Danio rerio: one gene and its partner. The protein of the gene in region 2 purifies or fractionates together with the protein of the main gene of each other region. This does not show direct contact. Links are inferred from orthologs where the notes say so. Each region holds a gene or a part of one and is shown on either strand. Other genes may lie near its edges.

Region 1 (4,218 bases), about 25 Mb from region 2:
ACCTGATGTCTGGGGCGACCCACGATGGATGGGAAGACAGCACGGGGAGCATCATCTCCAGCGAATCCGGCTTTGCACATACCGGATCCGTTGTCAACAACCAGTGCGGCAATTTCATCATCCATGGCTGAACTGTAAAAGAAAGGGAAACTGTTAGAATTGCACTGCTGCCAGGGAGAGGCGTTTCAGCAAGCATGTGACCATCTGGAGTCAACTTCCTGTTTTGCTCTGCATTCTACAGTCTGACCGCTGGTGGGCGCTAGTGACAGCGCGCGCCTCAGATATGCCAGACAAAGGAAGTCCCTCTGCATTCTCTCATTATTACCATAAAAGGCAATGGTTTGAGCCGCTTTGCGGCTGCCGGCGGTGTGGCACTCAGCCAGAGTCGTAGGGCTCAGTAAAAAGGAACAGATTTCGACATTCATCACACCAGGACCACTCCCTAAATTTTACACAAATGAAGTTTCACATCCTCTTCCACCCTCGCCTGCGATCAATTACACAACCGCATTTCAACGGGTGTCTGCCGCCGGGTGTTACTGCGTCACAGATCTGCAGTCAGTCCACGGACTCCTCGTGAGCGGAGACTTCACACTAAAGCATTTCTGGACGGTCACTCTCAGTCGGTTCAGTTCATAGTCTAGCCTCAAAAATCACCGAGATCCTGAAAAACTGATGGGCTCTGCTTCGACAGTCACAGCGGCTGAAGTGCAGCCAGAGAACTCCGCAGCCGTTATTAAAGTGGACCACACCTCTAAAATTCAAATCTTTCATAGCGGATACAACACTTCACTAACGTTAACGTTAATCTTCAGCTTCATTAAAGACAGAGGGGGCTGCAGGCTACATTTAAATAGAACACATAACAAAAAGAAAATTAACCAAGTTAAAACTAAATGCCAATACCCGTTACTAATAACAAGATCTTCGATCTTATAAAGCACGAATGAGCCGATGTTAGATTGATGGGGTTTACGTTACATCAGATGAGAGCTGGTTAGCCGGCTAGCTAAAGTAGGTCACACCCTGCTGCAGCACTGCCTGCACAAAGAACTTCCCATGCCGGCTATCCATCAAGTGTGCAACATGCTCACCAGCACCCTCAAAACTGTAGTTAAAAATCACATTTATGGCTGTTAAAGAGAGATTAGCCAGAACACAACTTTATATTAAGACTTAACACCCATTTCACACCGGCCTATTCAATGTTCAATGTCGTGCCTACGACTGGTCACGTTAAATTACCGACATTCTCACCTGCCACATCCACTAACGCTACAAAAAAGTTAAGATACAGCCAATATTTATTAAATGTAACATAGATTATCAAAAGAACCACCACTTATAAATCAAACCTAGTAGATAACTACAAAGAGACCGTTATGAACTGTCTAAAGACTTCATCAAATCATATTTATCCATTTACACATTTTACTTAACATTAATAGATAGAAACTATAATTAAACGCTTAAAAACTGTAAAACCAACTCACCTTGGGTTTGGGGGGTTGTCGACTTAAGAGAATGGGTTACAAGCAGATGATATTCCGCACTAGCTGCGTGTGGAGGAGCTCAAAGTGAGGCTGAAAAGCTGGGCGCGCTCTTTTATATGACGGCACATACCCGGCTCTAGCCATAAAAGGTAAACTTTCGGAGCTCTGTGCTCTGATTGGTCCAGCGTCACACACCCGGCTGTCGCGTGCACATTGCTACACTTGCTTCTTGCAACTTGAGAGTGAAAGAAGGGGAAGCTTAACTGGTTAAAGAACAAGGCCATGGCGATTTCCTATAAAACTGGAATTTTTATTTGCAAATTTTAACACAGAATTTTTCGTATTTTTCTGCGACAACGCCAAGACTCAATTAAACTTTTCAAAAAGTCTGTGCAGAGTTACAAGTGGCAGAATGCGTCATAATGATGGATGCCTCCATGATCCTGTGTTGTGTTTTCAATCTAACACAACAGCAGCTCTGTAGGTCATTTACCTCTTGTGTTCACGAAATACCGTAATACAAACAATGGGGGATCTAATGAGTACTTTTCCATGTATAAAATGGACATTTTTTTTATCCAAATTAGGATGACACTACTTGTAGTATGTTGTATGAGCAACTAGCTGGTCTTAGCTCAGTAGTAATGCACTTTAAGAAAGTGCTTTAATAACTTTGAATGAATGGGACCTGCATTCCATGCCACATTGCTTCACTATTTTTGTGTGTACAAGTTACACAATGATGTATAAAGTGAGTGATAGCAGTTACATTTTTGCAAGTGGGCCTACCTCAGGTTTAATGTTCATTAGAAATGTTATATGTCAAGTCTTGATCTTAAATAGTTAAATTTTCTGTTCATAATTTCATGTCGTGTCTATGCAGACATAACATTTCTTTTTAAAGAGGTTTATAAGGATAAATCCTAAGAACATAATTCTCATTAAAAGTAGAAAAAAAAAACACTGAAAGTGTTGGTGATCAGCTACAATAAATAATATTTTGCACACATTTCAGATATTGCCACACTGAATAACAGATAAAGCTGTGCTTGAGCAGCAGTGATCATGATAAACTACATGTGACTTTTTACTGTGTAACTTGGGAGTAATGCACATGGCCTTCAGTGGGAGTTATAAACAAAAACAGCTGATTGTGTTAAAAGTGCTTGCTGATACCAAGGACAATGAGGTGATGTGACTTTTATTTTGTTTTTGGCAAATTCCAAGTATTTTGACAAGACTTTTTACAATTCTGAGCATTTTACCTCTAAAATATGGAAGTTTCTCAGAGTAAACGTTGAGTATAGGTAATGACTAGGCCCACACAGAATCTGTGCGCACAGAAATCTGCAGATTTCCCCAGATCTTTAGCCCATCATTGAGTTTATTTATTGACTTGTGTATTTGGATTTGCTCTTTAGTGTTTGGACTCTCAGCAGTAAAAATTAACTCACACTGAACTAAACTGAACTGAACTTAAACTCTTAAAAAATGGACTGACACAGTTTCAATTTACTATACTAATCCTCTAAGTTAAGCTGCTTTGACACAATCTACATTGTAAAAGCACTCTAGAAATAAAGACAAAGGTGTAAATATATGTTTATTCAGTTTTTAAATACATTTCCGTAATATTATTGACTAATATGAAAGTGTTCATTTGATTACAATATGGTCTGAAAGTAATGTTTTCTGTCTTTTAGAAGATATATTATGTGAGAGACTTGCTTTGTCGACCAAATAATTGGATCTAGGTGGACTTGCATTGTATATATTTATTAAAAGTTAAAAAGGTATTATTTTTTTTTATTTCATATAGTAAGTTTTTAGTTACGATACTCCCGAAAAAATCTCGCATAAATCACAGATTGTTTACAAAATTCTCTGCAGAAAAAGCAAAAAATGTCAGCAGATTCTGTCTGGCCCTAGCTATGACCCAACAGAGCAAACAGAATAAATACAACGAAATTTAATATACAGCATCAGATATAAAAGTGAATGTTTTATAGCTGTTTGTGTATAGAAAAAATGAGAAAAAACAGACATAAACAGCATCATAGTATGAATGTCTAAAAACTTGTTATCTGCAAACTGGATACTCATCAATAAGGTCTCCTCCTTCCATCCCCCAACATCTTTTCAAAGAATGCCAAGCATCCATCCACACCCCCCTTTATAAACACACAGGTTTTTATAAGATAAGCAAATATTTAGCACCAATCTGTGGTTAATGTGATGTAACACACAACAAACAATGCATTCAGCATATCCAGTCAATTCTATTTTTTAACCAACCATGCTTCTCTTTGTAACTTTTGTAGATTGCACAGGGGATCTTGTTACAGCAGATGTGCTTTTGTGAGTCCATAGTTCCCCCGAGGACCACCACCCTTCCCTGATAGCAGCCCACTACAGCCTTCCCATTCATCTCTAAATAAGGTACTGTCCTAATGAACCTCAGCTTTGCCCCATGACATAAGATTTCCAGAGCAATAAAGTGTTGTTGACTGTCAGTGTGATAATGTCATTGTCCTTTAGAATGCCAAAGTCTCTTATCTCAATTCTGATACCAAAGCTCTCCCAGTACACCATTCATGCATAATGATAAGAAACATATTTATGAAGTTGTTCTCAAAGGAACACTTTTTGGGCGTGTCATGCTGCATTTCATAGTTTGTTGTTTGGCACCCACATAAATAAAACAAGTGTGTTTTTGATAATAATA
Region 2 (4,183 bases):
CCACTGACAAAGCTCCAGAATTTCTTTCCCCATACATGAGCTCATTTGTCCTATTTTGTCTGCTATGCCATTATAAATTGTGAAATAACCCATCTAAGAAAGCTTTAAGACCAAGCAAAATCTGACGCAAGTGAAGCCATCTTTCACTACTGACCTACTGTACTGTTGTTAAATAGAGAAAATATTTACAAGTAACTTTTAATCTAAATCCTGGACCTTATTTTTGAAAGAGCAGAAAAATAAAAAGACCAATAAAAAGGTGTTAAGCACCAAAAGTTCATTTTGAAGTCCCTGTGCATTTACTGTAGAAACACACAAACAACATAGCAGCGGGCAGAGAACTCATAGAGAAATGTTGTGCTTTATGAAATGAACAATAAAATAAAAATAAAAATAAAACGGCCACACAAGCACACCTGCTAAAAAAAAACAAAAAACAGCATGATTTAGAGTTCTCAGTCACACACACAGACACACAGACACACACAGACACACACACACACAGACACACACACAGACAGACACACAGACAGACAGACACACAGACAGACAGACACACACACACACACACACACAGACACACAGACACACAGACACACAGACACACAGACACACAGACACACAGACACACACACAGACACACACACAGACACACACAGACACACACACAGACACACACAGACACACACACACACACACACACACACACACACACACACACACGGGCTACATAAAGTGCAATTCGATAAATGTAATTTGATGAATGAAAAGTAAAATAAAAATTGACAAGCAAAATCTAGATGTTCCTCGACTTGGACAAAAAAATTTCCATGACTTTAAATATCTGAAATAAACATTTTAAAAATGAACTATTAAGATCCTTTTTTGCAGGATGAAAAATAAATATTGCTTTATAACCATTTTGAAACTGCCCCTTTTAGGCTTTGGTCCAAATTACGCCGCTTCTTTGTGACTGCCGCTTGAAATGTAAACTAGCTTTTGCTCTGTGCAAAGGCAGGTGGAGCTATAAATGTCAATGCGTCAGCATAGTGGCAGATTCATTAACAGTACTTAAGGAGATCTCTGTGAAAACTGAAAATGTGAAAGAAACGTCTCAAAAGAAGGCAGTCTATGGAGACTACAGTGTTCATTTGCGCATCTAAAACTTCACATTAATAGTGCCTTATAGTCAGTGTCATTATCTTCAGCAGGTGAACACTCTAAAGCCGCCTTTCCACTGCACATCACATTTGAACACGACTGTCGGAATACTCCCCCTTGTGGCAGTCGCACAGAACTTTCAGTTTTGTCGTGCACCATGGGAGAGAAGATGTTCTCACAGCGTCAGTAATAAAAGAGTGCAAAAGCAAGAGCCTTTACTCTCTGGGTGTCCACCATGGTTGAATGAATGAATCAACACTAGAAACTCAGACCGCTAAAAATGTTGGCGGGAATGTGGAAACAAACAAAAAAAAGTATTTTTATGACTCATTTATGAACAAAACATTTTTTAATATAGACTTTTTTCTGATTTAAGAAAAAAAAAAATCCTATTTCTCATCTCGCACGCACAGACCTGCCTGGACAACACTGAACTACATCACATGCGGTCGGTCGTATACGGTGTAGTCGCAGGAGTTCAAATATTTCCAACAGCAGCTCTGCAGCTCATATCGGATCCAAATTTTCCACATACGGAGAGAATCTGAACTCTACGCAGCTCCCGGACTACTCTCCATTGGAAATTCAACGTCTTCCAGTCTTTCGCTTGTCGTGTGCAGTGGAAGGGCGACTTAATGGCGAATGGCTGCTTCTCACTCAGGGCTGTTTATGCTAATGAGGCAGAGATCGTCACTAATGGACGGGCTTTCCCCCTCTGATGACAGGTACAATGTCAATCAAGGTGTTCATGCAGACTGTTTATCAAGTCTGATTATAATACTATTAATAAAACTATTGGATAATAATATAATATAATAAATAACTATAATAAAACTATTGTTTTACCATTACAAGCTGGTTATATTCACACACGGTTGCCACACAACTGCATTTAAACCACTTAGAAAACTGATATATGCACAAATGACCCCCTTTAAAACTCATGATATTCACAAAAATTCCAAGACCCATGGGAACTCTAAATATAGCAATATAAAGTTGCAATATTGTGCATTCCTATGACCTATCGACAGCCTCAATGTGGATAAAATTAACAACAAATTTAATTTGTTGCGTGTAAGCCCTTTAAATTGACCTTATTAGAATACTTATAGGAATTAAATGCTTTAACCATTGCTGCCATTGTTTTACAAAACACATCAGTAGTTATTACAACTCACCATTGTACAGAGCAGAGTTAACAACACCTCCTCCAATGGCCAAGGCCAATCCCAGCTTCCCAATGGACTCAAAGAGCTTCGCCATGACAACAAAGTGACAGTCCTGCGGGGAAAACACATTCATCTTCAGTATCTCATCATGGGTGATCTCTTGTGCATATAGAGCCCTTGGGTAATCAAACCAATGCTAGCCGGTTTAGCCTTGACTCTGACAGTGACACTGACATCAATGTAACGTGCTAATCTGATCTCACTCTAACCGGTCACTGGAAAAATCACAAGTAAAACTGCACAATATACACATATATACACCACTTAAAAACAATTGCTATTACAATAACACATGTGACACAGATTAACAGGCATTAATACAATCCGCAGTAGTGAACTTCACTCATTTATTAGCCTGCTACACGCTAATGATGCAACTGTCATGCAATAACGCCAACAAACACCCACACGTCGTGTTTATTTCACTTTCATACTGTCGCGTTATAATTACCGATGCTTTGTGAGTAAAACAAAAGCTTTAAGTTCGCATTTAAATGTAAGTCTCCTAAAACGTGAGCACTTACCCGCTGCGCTGAATGATCACAGTGACCTCCACCGGAGCCTGCGCAAGAAACACATGAGCAGGTGGAGCTTGCGCATGCGCAGAACAGTGTCAACATGAGTTTCTCCGATTGGATAGAGAGACACAAACCGAACGCCCTCTTGAGTAAGGAGGATTATTATTGGCGTACATCTCACGTTGCTTTAGAACGAGGTGGGTTCACTGCAATGCAATATGTGGGCGTTCCTTATTTCATTTTGTAATGACTTTAATTTATGTACTGTTATTGATACTTAAATGTCTTATGCTCAAGTTTATATCATGTTCTTTATTCATTTTTTCTTCTGTCTTTCTCTCTCTTATATTTTTTTATTGACAATGTAATTCATATTGCGTATTGTAAACAAATATTGCTACAAACTTGTCATGTGGGCGTTCTTTCGACTGCTTAAAGCTATAGTCCAACCACGTTCAAATACTGAAAATATGTTTTCAACATCGTTTAACACCTGTAACCATTGACTTCCATAGGAAAAACCAATAGTATGGAAGTCAATGGTTACCAGTTTCCAACATTTTTCAAAATAACTTATTTTGTGTTCAAAGAACGAAACACATTCATTTATTTTCTTTAGCTTAGTCCCTTTAAGGGTTGCCACAACAGAATGAACCGCCAACTTATCCAGCATATGTTTTACACAGTGGATGCCCTTCCAGCTGCAATCCATCACTGGGAAACACCCATACATACTCATTCACCTATACCACATGTTTTTGGGAGAAACTGGACCACCAAGGAGAAACCCACAACAACACGGGGAGAACATGCAAACTCCACACAGAAACGCCAACTGACCCAGCCAAGGCTCGAACCAGCAACCTTCTTGCTGTGAGGCAAATGTGCTACCCACTGCGCCACCGTGCAGTGAGCTTTTATTATTATTTTTATTTCATTGCTGTTGAAAGTGAGAGTGGTATAAAATTGCTACATTTTTCTACTGCAATTCCTGTACAGAGGCTTTACTACTAGTGTACCACATGCTGTATGAAAACAGAAAAGGACGTTTATTTATATAGCACTAATACCCCAAGATCATCAAGCATATCAAGACTCTTTGGATTCATCTTCAATGCCTCCTCCTCCATATTACCCCAGACATGCTCAATAATGTTCATCTCTGGTGGCTGGGCTGGCCATTCCAGGAGCACCTTGACCTTCTTTGCTTTCAGGATCTTTGATGTGGAGGCTGAAGTATGAGAAGGAGCGCTATCCTGTTGAACAATTTGC

Evidence for each region. The genes of interacting proteins can lie anywhere in the genome.
Region 1: the proteins of phb (region 2) and actb2 purify together in Homo sapiens (affinity purification with mass spectrometry; 4 studies listed by BioGRID and IntAct, with this or other methods). This does not show direct contact. The link is inferred for Danio rerio from reciprocal best matches to the Homo sapiens genes PHB1 and ACTB.

Annotation. Positions count from the first base shown.
Region 1 is NC_133178.1:39,482,468-39,486,685, forward strand, and holds the start of actb2 (actin, cytoplasmic 2), read right to left. Parts: upstream 2,822-4,218; 5' UTR 2,809-2,821; intron 1,584-2,808; 5' UTR 1,494-1,583; intron 133-1,493; 5' UTR 126-132; coding exon 3-125; intron 1-2. UniProt on the Homo sapiens protein: Actin is a highly conserved protein that polymerizes to produce filaments that form cross-linked networks in the cytoplasm of cells.
Region 2 is NC_133178.1:14,401,090-14,405,272, reverse strand, and holds the start of phb (prohibitin 1), read right to left. Parts: upstream 2,944-4,183; 5' UTR 2,918-2,943; intron 2,446-2,917; 5' UTR 2,428-2,445; coding exon 2,343-2,427; intron 1-2,342.